Cricetulus griseus: one gene and its partners. The protein of the gene in region 2 purifies or fractionates together with the protein of the main gene of each other region. This does not show direct contact. Links are inferred from orthologs where the notes say so. Each region holds a gene or a part of one and is shown on either strand. Other genes may lie near its edges.

Evidence for each region.
Region 1: the proteins of Maged2 (region 2) and C1qbp purify together in Homo sapiens (affinity purification with mass spectrometry; 3 studies listed by BioGRID and IntAct, counting the BioPlex papers as one, with this or other methods). This does not show direct contact. The link is inferred for Cricetulus griseus from reciprocal best matches to the Homo sapiens genes MAGED2 and C1QBP.
Region 3: the proteins of Maged2 (region 2) and guanine nucleotide-binding protein G(s) subunit alpha isoforms XLas-like purify together in Homo sapiens (affinity purification with mass spectrometry; 3 studies listed by BioGRID, counting the BioPlex papers as one, with this or other methods). This does not show direct contact. The link is inferred for Cricetulus griseus from reciprocal best matches to the Homo sapiens genes MAGED2 and GNAS.

The regions. Positions count from the first base shown.
Region 1 is NC_048600.1:84,787,710-84,791,459, forward strand, and holds the start of C1qbp (complement component 1 Q subcomponent-binding protein, mitochondrial), read right to left. Parts: upstream 2,274-3,750; 5' UTR 2,209-2,273; coding exon 1,983-2,208; intron 1,576-1,982; coding exon 1,425-1,575; intron 1-1,424.
Region 2 is NC_048604.1:108,707,778-108,710,166, reverse strand, and holds part of Maged2 (melanoma-associated antigen D2), read right to left. Parts: intron 2,043-2,389; coding exon 1,948-2,042; intron 1,293-1,947; coding exon 1,213-1,292; intron 1,119-1,212; coding exon 1,076-1,118; intron 748-1,075; coding exon 685-747; intron 1-684. UniProt on the Homo sapiens protein: Regulates the expression, localization to the plasma membrane and function of the sodium chloride cotransporters SLC12A1 and SLC12A3, two key components of salt reabsorption in the distal renal tubule.
Region 3 is NC_048599.1:4,772,214-4,775,963, forward strand, and holds the start of guanine nucleotide-binding protein G(s) subunit alpha isoforms XLas-like, read right to left. Parts: upstream 2,193-3,750; coding exon 1-2,192. UniProt on the Homo sapiens protein: Guanine nucleotide-binding proteins (G proteins) function as transducers in numerous signaling pathways controlled by G protein-coupled receptors (GPCRs).

The DNA of each region.
Region 1 (3,750 bases), on a different chromosome or scaffold from region 2:
ATTAAAGGTGTGCACCACCACTGCCCTGCAAATTTTGAGAGAACTTTTCCACCCTGTTAGAAGACAATCACCAAATGTGGCCACACCCCAGAGTCAATGACCCTTTTCTTCTGGCTTTGAACTTTTCTAAGGTTTTTCAAGCCTTGGCTGTCCTGGAACTTGCTCTATAGAGCAGGTTGAGCTTGAACTCAAGAGATGTGCCTCCCTGGGATTTAAGGTGTGTACCACCACAGCCCAGCCTAGCTTTGAACTAGGGTTACAGGCCCCCACTGGATAAAGCTGCTTTCTTACACATGTGTGTTTAAGGGGCACTCACTGGGGGCTGACCCTGGGCCTCACACATGCTAGAGAAGCCCTTAGAGGCAGGACTCTAAGACTGGTGAAAGAGTAACAAATCAGCATAACAAAGTTAAAGGTTTTAGGGGCAGCAGGTGTAGTAGCATAGGCCTGAAACTTTAGCACATAGGATCTGAAGCAGAAGGATGAAGAACCAGTCTGTGCTACAAAGTACCATAGAGACCCGTTTAGGGGAGGGGTAAGCTAAGCTTGACAAAGAACTCTACCTCTGATGGCCTTTCTACACTGTAATTTCATCCTGTTACTTTTTTTTGGGGGGGGGTTCTGAGGCGGGGTTTCTCTGTGGCTTTGAAGGCTGTTCAGGAACTAGTTTTTTTGTGTTTTCGAGACAGAGTTTCTCTGTGTAGCTTTGGAGCCTATCCTGGCACTTGTTCTGGAGACCAGGCTGGCCTCGAACTCATAGAGATCCTCCTGCCTCTGCCTCCCGAGTGCTGGGATTAAAGGCATGCCCCACCAACGCCTGGCCAGGAACTAGCTCTTGTAGACCAGGCTGACCTCAAATTCAGAGAAAGGTGGGCTGGGACTAAAGGCATGGGCGTGCCGGGGTGGGTGGTGGCGCACGCCTTTAATCCTAGCATTTGGGAGGCAGAGGCAGGCGGATCTCTGTGAGTAAGAGGCCAGCCTGGTCTACAACAGCTAGCTCCAGGACAGCTTCCAAAAGAAGCCACAGAGAAACCCTGTCTCGAAAAACAAAAGTTACATATCTTGCATTTTCAACTGTTATAAACACAAGCCAGAGGAGATAATTTTATGTGAATTCTAAACAAATCAGCACTTTAAACATTCCTAAAATCTAGTGCCTAAATCCAGGCAGGGCACAGCACTGTCACCAATAACCCAATGCTTGCCTGTGTCTGCCATCCCAACAGCCTTCCCTTTACACATTAATTACCAGGCCACAGCAAATCTGTCAGTGAATGTCCTCCCTGGAACCTAAGAAAATTTCCAATTGCATGCTTTCTCAAAAGCCATTTTACCAAAGCATGGGGCCTAAGCTCAGGCCTAATGGGGATGGCCAAGACAGAGTAAGTGATAAAGTCTCCTAGAACTCCAGGGCCAGTACTTACTTTTCTCCAGCAACTTTGCGCGATAATTTAGCCTCTGTCCCGTTCACTTCCAGCTCCCAATTCCCAGACATCTTGGGAAGGGATTTATGCTTCTGGATTTTCTTCTCTTCCTTAATTTCATCCGTTAAGAATTCAACAAAGGCTTTGTCTCCTAAAAGACAACCCAACATGGTCAAAAAAGAGAAAGCCAACTGCCTTACCCTATAGACCTGGACTGTGCCTAATCTGTTTCTATGGCTGCTCTATGACTCTAGCCCAATTCACTCCGGAAAACGTCCGTTTCCCACTCTGTAAAACCAGGATGTCTCTTCTAGCAGTTATTTCTCCTTAGTGTACTTAGTATTATTGCTCTCCGTATAAAACAAGAATTCCCAACTACCCGCTTTCACTTGCCAAAAGCCATGTCCAGCAACCACATTGTCAAACCACGACCCCTCCGGGCTTTTGCCAAGTCATATTTCCAAGATACGAGGAGTGGGGCCTGCGATCGCGAGGGTCCAGCTCGGGATCCGTTCCAAGCTGGGTCCCCACATCCCGGCCTGGATGCGTGAATCTTACCCTCGGTGTGCAGAGCTCCACAGCCGCAGGAGCAGGGCGCCGGGGGCTTCAAGAGGTCGGAACGCCGTGCGGAGCCGGCCCGCACGCTGAGCAGCCCGAAGGGCCGGAGGCACGGTCGAAGCGCGGGCTGCAGCAGCTGCGGGAGAGGCGAGGCCGGGGCAGCGGCGCGGAAGCCCGTGGCAGCGGCGCCCAGGGCGCGGGGCACGCAGCGCAGCAGAGAAAGCATGGTGAGGAAGACACGTGCGGAGTGAGTGACGACCCTGTCGAGCAAGACAGTATATATGACCTCGAACACCGCCGGAAGCCACGCCCCCGCCCGGGAAGGTCTCTTACGTCACCGGGCGACAGGAACCGAGCCAGACTGCGCCCTCTGCTGAGGGCCTCCAGTGCAACGGGGATGTCCTGAATCCCTTAGCTCTGTTCTCCCTGGGCTGATGGGCTGTCTCTCCTTTACTGCCCACTCTTCTCAATCCACATACTCTGAGATCACCTCACTTAAAAGTCTTCTGGATGTGGGGGACCCCCTGGGAGTCTGCTTTTCTTCTCTGATCCACAGGACCCTTGGGGAGCTACTGGCTGCCTTATGGCTAGGTGCTATTCATTTTCCCTCCTGCAGACACGGCCTGTTTACAAATATGCAAATTATCTGCATATTGTCAGGGCCTTAAGAGCATGGACTTTGATCTGAGTTACTTCCTAGGGTGCTGCTGATGGTATATAAATCAACTCCCCTCTAAATAAAATTGGCATTCTTCTTTCAAGAGTGACCCGCTGTTTTATTTAATCCGCAGATCCCTTCTTTCAAACCCTTAATAAGCTGTAGCCTTGGACAATGCATCTGGAATTTTTGCTGGGCGGTGGTGGTGGTGCACGCCTTTAATCCCAGCACTTGGGAAGCAGAGGCAGGCGGATCTGGATCTTTGAGTTCAAGGCCAGCATGATCTACAAGAGCTAGTTCCAGGACGGCCTCCAAAAGAAGCCACAGAGAAAACCTGTCTCGAAAAACAAAACAAAAAACCACTTCTGGAACCTTCTAAACATCGGGAATGCTCAAGTTGACCTGCACCCAGCTGCTATGCAGTGGCATCTATTTTGGAAACCTCTGCACCCCCTAATAGTTCATCCAGCTTTTAATGGACTATCATTTTCCTGGAAGCAGGAATTCATGGCTTACATCATCACATTATGTTAAGAATTGAAGATACCAGAGGCTGGACGTAAGGCTCCGTGGTTAGGATCATTTGTTACTCTTGCAGAGGACTAGAGTTCTAGTCCCAGATCTATCTGGAGTTTCTAGGGCATCAGACTCTGATTTCCATGAACACCAGGCGTGAGTGTGGTGCAGACATGTAGGTTAAACAGGCAAACACATAAACAACAAACACTCATGTCTTATACTCCCGGCACCTGGAAGGAGACAGCTCTGAGTTTAAGGAGACAGCCTGCCCTGTCTACACAGTGGGTTTCAGAACAGCCAGGGTTACATAGATCTTGTCTGGCAGCTGGGCGGTGATGGCAGGCACTGTTAATCCCAGCACTTGGGAAGCAGAGGCAGGCAGATCTCTGTGATTTCGAGACTAGCCTGGTCTACAAGAGCTAGCTCCAGGACAGCCTCCAAAGCCACGGAGTTAAAAAAAAACAAACAAAAAAACAAAAAAAACAAAACCTGTCTGGAAAAAAACCCCAAAATATAGATACCAAGTCTTACGAAATGAATGGCAATAAGACTACTGTTTAATAATCTAAACAGCATTCTATAAATAAGGGA
Region 2 (2,389 bases):
AGGATGATCAGGAATTAACCGTCATCCCTAACCATATAAGTTTGAGGCCAGAATGGAGTACGTGGCAGGGGAGACAGAGGAAGAGAGGAAGAGGAGAGAGAGAGAGAGAGAGAGAGAGAGAGAGAGAGAGAGAGAGAGAGAGAGATCATATTCCTAAACACAACTGTTTCTCTATGTGAGTGCATGCATATTCTTCTCTGACACCCAATAATACAAGGTAGACTCCTAGTTACAAAGTCAACAGGTTAGGATTCCAGACCCAACTGAGCCTTTTTTAAAATTACCTGTGGGCCATGCTCAAACATCCCCTCTTAGGGATCATATCATATCATATCATTTACCTAAATGAATGGTACACAGTTATATAAATGATACTAAATCCACAAGTCAGTACCCAGCAGCACTATCCTGGGTTGCCTAAGGGTACCACTTGAGGCCATCTTAATGGAAATTAAGTTTTTTAAAGTGCTACTTAGCCAAGTAAAAAGAGCCATGTTCTAAACACAATTTTTATTTGCTATCTGTGTAACCCTGAGCAAATGACTTAAATTCCTTAAGACTGTCTTCAACTCCCTCACAGAGTTGTTCTGAAGCTGTGACTGCTCCCAGAAATAACCTGCCAACAGCATACACACATGCACACCTTAGACCACAAACACACGCACATGAGACATAGGCACTTACTTCTGCTTCACAAACTCATCAGTAATGAGCTTCTTCACATCCCCAAAGAGTGAGTGATGTATCCTGAGAACACAGAAAGCTGAATAAGCAAATAAATATAATCAGATCTGTTACACTTCCCAAGTGCTGGCAGAGGCATTTCCATGACAAAACAGATTTACAGTATAGAGAAAGCTCCATGGAAGTTGAAGAGATGGTGAGAAGGTGAGCAGAGATGGGAGGCATTTCCCCATCCAGTAGGTCAGAACCCTGGGCCCACTACCCAGCCCAGTTTTCCCCACCCCCACCCCACACATGCTCCATCAGACCACCAGGCTGATGCAATCCTGGGACCATCCTCTCTTGCCAAAAGACAACATGGACAGCAAGCGCTGAGAGAGCCCAATCATACCCAGGGCGCAGCCCCAACTTGCGCAGCACCTCCCAGATGACAGCTGCAAGAGGAGGCAAGAAGGAGACAAAGACAGAAAATGAGCGCCTGGAATTCAGACAACAGCCACCTATTCAACTGCATGTCCAGCCACTCACCCTCACTGGATCGATTTCCATTCATGAAGATGATGCTAAGAAGCACCATGAGGAGACCCAGCTTAGGTGAGTCCTTGGTCCTAAGAGAATAACAGGACAGAGAGAAAATTTATGTTCATGAGCCACCATCTATACAGCACAGCTCAATAGACCAGCCTCACCTAGATTCCTCAGATACAGAAAATTTGGCCTACTCTATGGTCCCAGCTATCCATGACCTAAGGCAAGCTGCTTTCACTCTTGAGCCAAGGTCTCCAGTAAAATGGGAAACCACATACTATCTCTACCCAGGGTTAGCGGGACATGGAGGAATCCCTGTCCACCACATGGACACTCAGTCATTGGGAGGCTTTTCTTTATCTCCCGAAGTCCCCTGGCACTGAGAAGTACTAGATGGAACACTAGTGACACTCCTGCTCTCAAGCATCATGGTGCACAACAGAAATCCCTCCCTCTTTTAAAAGCCACCCTTCCACAGCCAGGCCAGGCACTCAGTAGAAGAGACAAGTGACAGCAATCCAATTTCCTGGGAGCTTGTTAGAACAAGCAAACCTGACAGCAGGAATGCCCCAGTCCAGGCTCTGAAACCCTTCTGTCAGTTATAATCTGGCACCCTATTGCTCATAGGGATCCAGCCATGTGTGGGAGCTGGGACACAGGTGTTTAGACCCTCTCTCCTGAGCTTCTAAGAGGAAGCAAGAAGCCCCTTCACACCCTAGCACTTCCCCAGCTTACGTTCCCAGTATGCCTGCATCAGTGGGCTCTAAGGTACTGAGAAGAATATATAAGTGGTCACTCTTGTCGATTTCTTTCAGCTGAATTCCAAATACCTGTGGATGAGGAGAATAGCTTATAAATTCATAAAATCCAGCTTCCCAGGCATCCTGTGGCTCCTCATAATAGCCAAAGGTTTTTTGTGTATGTGAGAGAGAAATTGATGGAATATTGTATATAAAGCACATAGCTAAGTGCGCATTATACATGTAACAAACAGGGTGGTCATCCATAGCATCTTTGTGATCAGTGGGAATTTAGGTAGATGGCGAGGTGAGCATCTGCAATACATAAGACAGTGTAGCCAGCAGCCGACAGAAGCTAGGACTAAGCTGTGCAGCTTTAGTACTCTCTGTGTTTCCGCCACTGACTTGCTGTGTGATCAGTGGCTGCCCCTCCCTAC
Region 3 (3,750 bases), on a different chromosome or scaffold from region 2:
TTCCCGGGGCTGAGGGAACGGGCTCTCTCGGGGGCTCCGAAGCAGCTTCCAAAGGTTCTGGTGAAGAAGTTGCGGATTGGGTTGCATCCGACCGTGTGGCTCCGGGTCTGGCCGGGGCGGCGGTTTCGTCGCAGAAGGTACTGGAAGCAGCCGTTGGCCCCTTCTTCCGACTCATCGCTGGAGGAGTCAATCTCGCAGATGACGGATGATACCTCCTCGTACCTGCAGCAGCTTCGGCCACGTTCATACTTGTCTGGCCAGGCGCTCGGCCTCGGAGCAGGCCGCGGAGTAGGCGGGTCAGCAACCTGGATCTCGGGGCTGGGGGGTCTAAGATGGGCCCTGCTCGGGGCGGGAGGGTATGCCCGGGAGGCAGACATTGACCGGGCGACAGAGATTGGGTGGCCCGCAGCGACTGCCCGGGCAGCAGAGGCTGCCCGGGCGGCGGCAGCTGCACGGGCCGGGAGGCATGCCCGGGCGGCAGGAGTAGCCGAGAGTGACCTGGCTCCCCAGACCAGAGGACCTGCATAGGCTGCCCTAGCGGCAGTTGCCCGAGCGGAGGCTGGCATCGCTGGGGCGCCAGGGACTGCCCCGGCAGCCGGATGGGCTCTGGCAGTGGGGATTGGCCGGGGAGCGGGCTCCGGAGGGGTGACAGGGGCTGCCCGGGCGGCAGGCTCTGCCTTAGCAGAGACTTCCGCCGCTGCGGGCTCCACCTGGGTGACGGGGGCTGCCCCGGAGGCAGGCTCGGCCTTGGCGGCAGGGACTGCCTCGGAGGCTGGCTCCTCCGCGGCGGCTGGATCTCCTCCACCTTCAGACTCGGCAGGGGTGGCTGCTGCTGCGATGACCGGGGCTGCTCCTCCGTCAGGCTCCGCGCGGACAGCTGGGGTGGCTCCGACTTCTTCGGGATCGGTTTGGAGATCCGCGGGTGTTGCTGGGGCTGGAGGAGAGCCGCCGCTGGCAGCCGCGGAGGCGGCATCTTGTTCGGTAGCGACGGTCTGGGCAGCTGAGGCTGGCTTGTCATCCATGGCTTCTGGCTGGGTGAAGGATCCGTCTCTTCTCTCCGGAGAAGGGACTTTTCCTTCCACCGCAGCAGCGGTGGTTGGGCTTCCTTCCATGTCGGCTGCTTCTCGCTCAACTGGGGGTCTCTCTGCGCCGCGCTCGCTCTTATCTTGTGCTCCGGAGACTTCGATGGGCGGGCCAACACTTGCGATTGGGGGGCCGTCCATATTGACAGTTGTGTCGTCGCCGACCCTAGAGGAGGCTCTGCCAATCTCCAGCGGGGGTCTGGAGATCTCCATTGGGGGACTGTCGCAGGCGAAGTTAGCGGGAGCTCTGATAGCCTCGCTGAACGGTCTGTCAATGGCGCTGTGGACCCAGAGGGGAGGCGCGTTCTCGGCGGGAGCGAGACTGAGCGCACTCGGGACCGCGGCTGTCGGGAACTCGCCGCCAAAGCCGACTTGTCGGGTGACTCGGGGGAGGCCCGGGGGTGGGCTATCGCCCCCAAATTCTTCTCCATCGGGCCCAAACGGCACAGACTCTTCAGGTGGAGGGCTGTAGTCATCTCGCAAGCTAGCGATTGCAAATCTGATGTTCCCGGGCTCCGCGGGAAGTGCTCTGAGGACCTCTGCCTCCGGACCTCCTGGCGCAAGGTCTGGGACTGGCAAGGGCGACTGGCTATGGGCTTCCTGGGCAGGCTCGTTGAACTCAAATGGCATAGCTTCTTCTGGTGGGGGGCTGTAGGTTCCCTGGGCGGGGCTCGCACCACTGGGGGTCCCGGGCTCCAAAAGCGCTGGATTGAAGGTTTTGAGACCTGCTTGGGCCCCAGATCTTCCAGGCTGCTCCAGGGTGGGCCAGAAACCTCCGGGGCTGGGCTGTTTCGTCTCAAATGGCATGGATTCCTCTGGTGGGGGGCTATAGTCTCCACCCACTCCGACTTCCTCGACCGCCTGGTGGACGCCCTGAAAGTCGGTTCCGGAGACCCCCTGGGGTCCATAGCCCTCAGCGCCGTTCTCGGCGGGGATGGGCTCATTGGCAGACGGTTCGGCCTCCATTTCTTCGGCTGGGCCAAGCCCAGCACCGGGGGCAACTGCCCCTGGGGCCTCCAAAGGTTCTTGCTCGGGCTGCTCCCCGACTTCACCGGGGATATCGTGTTGTCCTGGCATATTGTTGCCGTGGACGCGGCTGCGCATGCCCATAACACGGTTGCGGTTTTTTAAAATAAATTTGGGGCCCCGTAAGACGGAGCACCCAGCCAAACTAGGGTCAAAAAATTTTTTCTTTTAAAATATTCGAGTATTGGCTGGAAAGTTCTCCAGCCTCAGTTTCCAATCTTTGTAAGGATAGATTCTGAGAGGCTAAAACTCAAGATCGTGGCTGAAGTACCTCATTTCTTGCTGGGAAGACCCGGAGCCTCCGGAGCCACACTTCTGCCTTCAAGTTGCGGTCGGCCAGCCACTCCCACGACTTTTCTGGACTCTCTTCTTACTTTGCTAACTTTGGCCCCGCCTTCTTGGCATCTAAGAGCGTGCCGATTCGTCTCGAAAATCGTTAGTAAAACTCTTTCTCTGCCGCCAGAGGACGCCGGTCTCAGTGCTAAGCCGGCTCCGGGAGCTGGCTCCCGGTGCCGGCAGTTCCCGACTTTGGGTATGGGGGCTGATGAGCGCAGGCCTCGCAGGGAGGTTCGCCTCCTTCCTCTCCTCTCCCAGACTGCTTCTGAGTCTGAGCTCCTCGCTTTTCCCCTGGCCAGAGAGAGAGAGCGCGCTCTCCTGCGTTGCTGGGCCACGTGACGTAAGACGTGGGCATTGGTCTGACAGAGTACAGGCGCTGAAACCCTCCCGCCCCATCAGATTCTTCCCGAGGGGAGGAGGGACTGCAGGAGGACTTTGTCACCCCAGATTACCCCAGTCTGCGGCAAACACCTTATCCGAGGACCCCAGCCTCGGGCAATTACCCGTTCTCAGCTCTGAGTTGGGGAAATGAGCCTTTAGGATGCCCGGGAAGGGGTAGAGGAGCGATCATAAAAATGCGACAGGTGGTCGTGAGCCCACCGGAAAGGCGGAGAGGGGATGAAGGGCGATGAGTTGTCAAATATGAACACGCAGTTTGTTTTTTAAATGCTCCGGGGTAATTTTATTATTTTTTTTTAAATGTTTTTGTTTGCTGTTTGTCAAGGATAGCTTCGGTAAATCCCCCTTCAATATGCCCCTTCCCCATTACACTTCCGGTGGGGGGGCTCTCAGCAATAGCCTAGCGTGACGCATCAGGCTTCGGCTTGTTTATGTGGATGGTGACGCAGTAGAAATAAGGGTCTCGGCGGTACACTGCGGCAAAATCGAGCAAAGACCCCTACGCGGTTACCGCTGCGGCGCCGGCGGCGCAGATAGGGGAGGGGGCGCGGGGCTTACCGGAAGACCCCCACCTAGCACGGGCTTCTGCCTTCTCAGGAAGGGGGAATGGAGACTGGGTGGGATACGTGGGATCGTGACCCATTTAGAGTGGTCTTAAAAACTAGAGGACCCGATAAGCACTAACCCACCGACCCACCGTGCCGCGGCAGTAACGGCGACCGAGACTCGCGGCTTCCGGCTCCGGGAGCCTGCCGACGATTCGCGTTCAGTTCGTCTAACCCCTCGCTAATCCCTTAGCAGACCCCTGCCAGTCCCCCTCCTCATGCTGTGAGCACCAGAGAGCAGACGCTGTACTTGGAACTGCAACAATATTTCCAGACAGCATTTAGCTCGGACACAAAGTCTG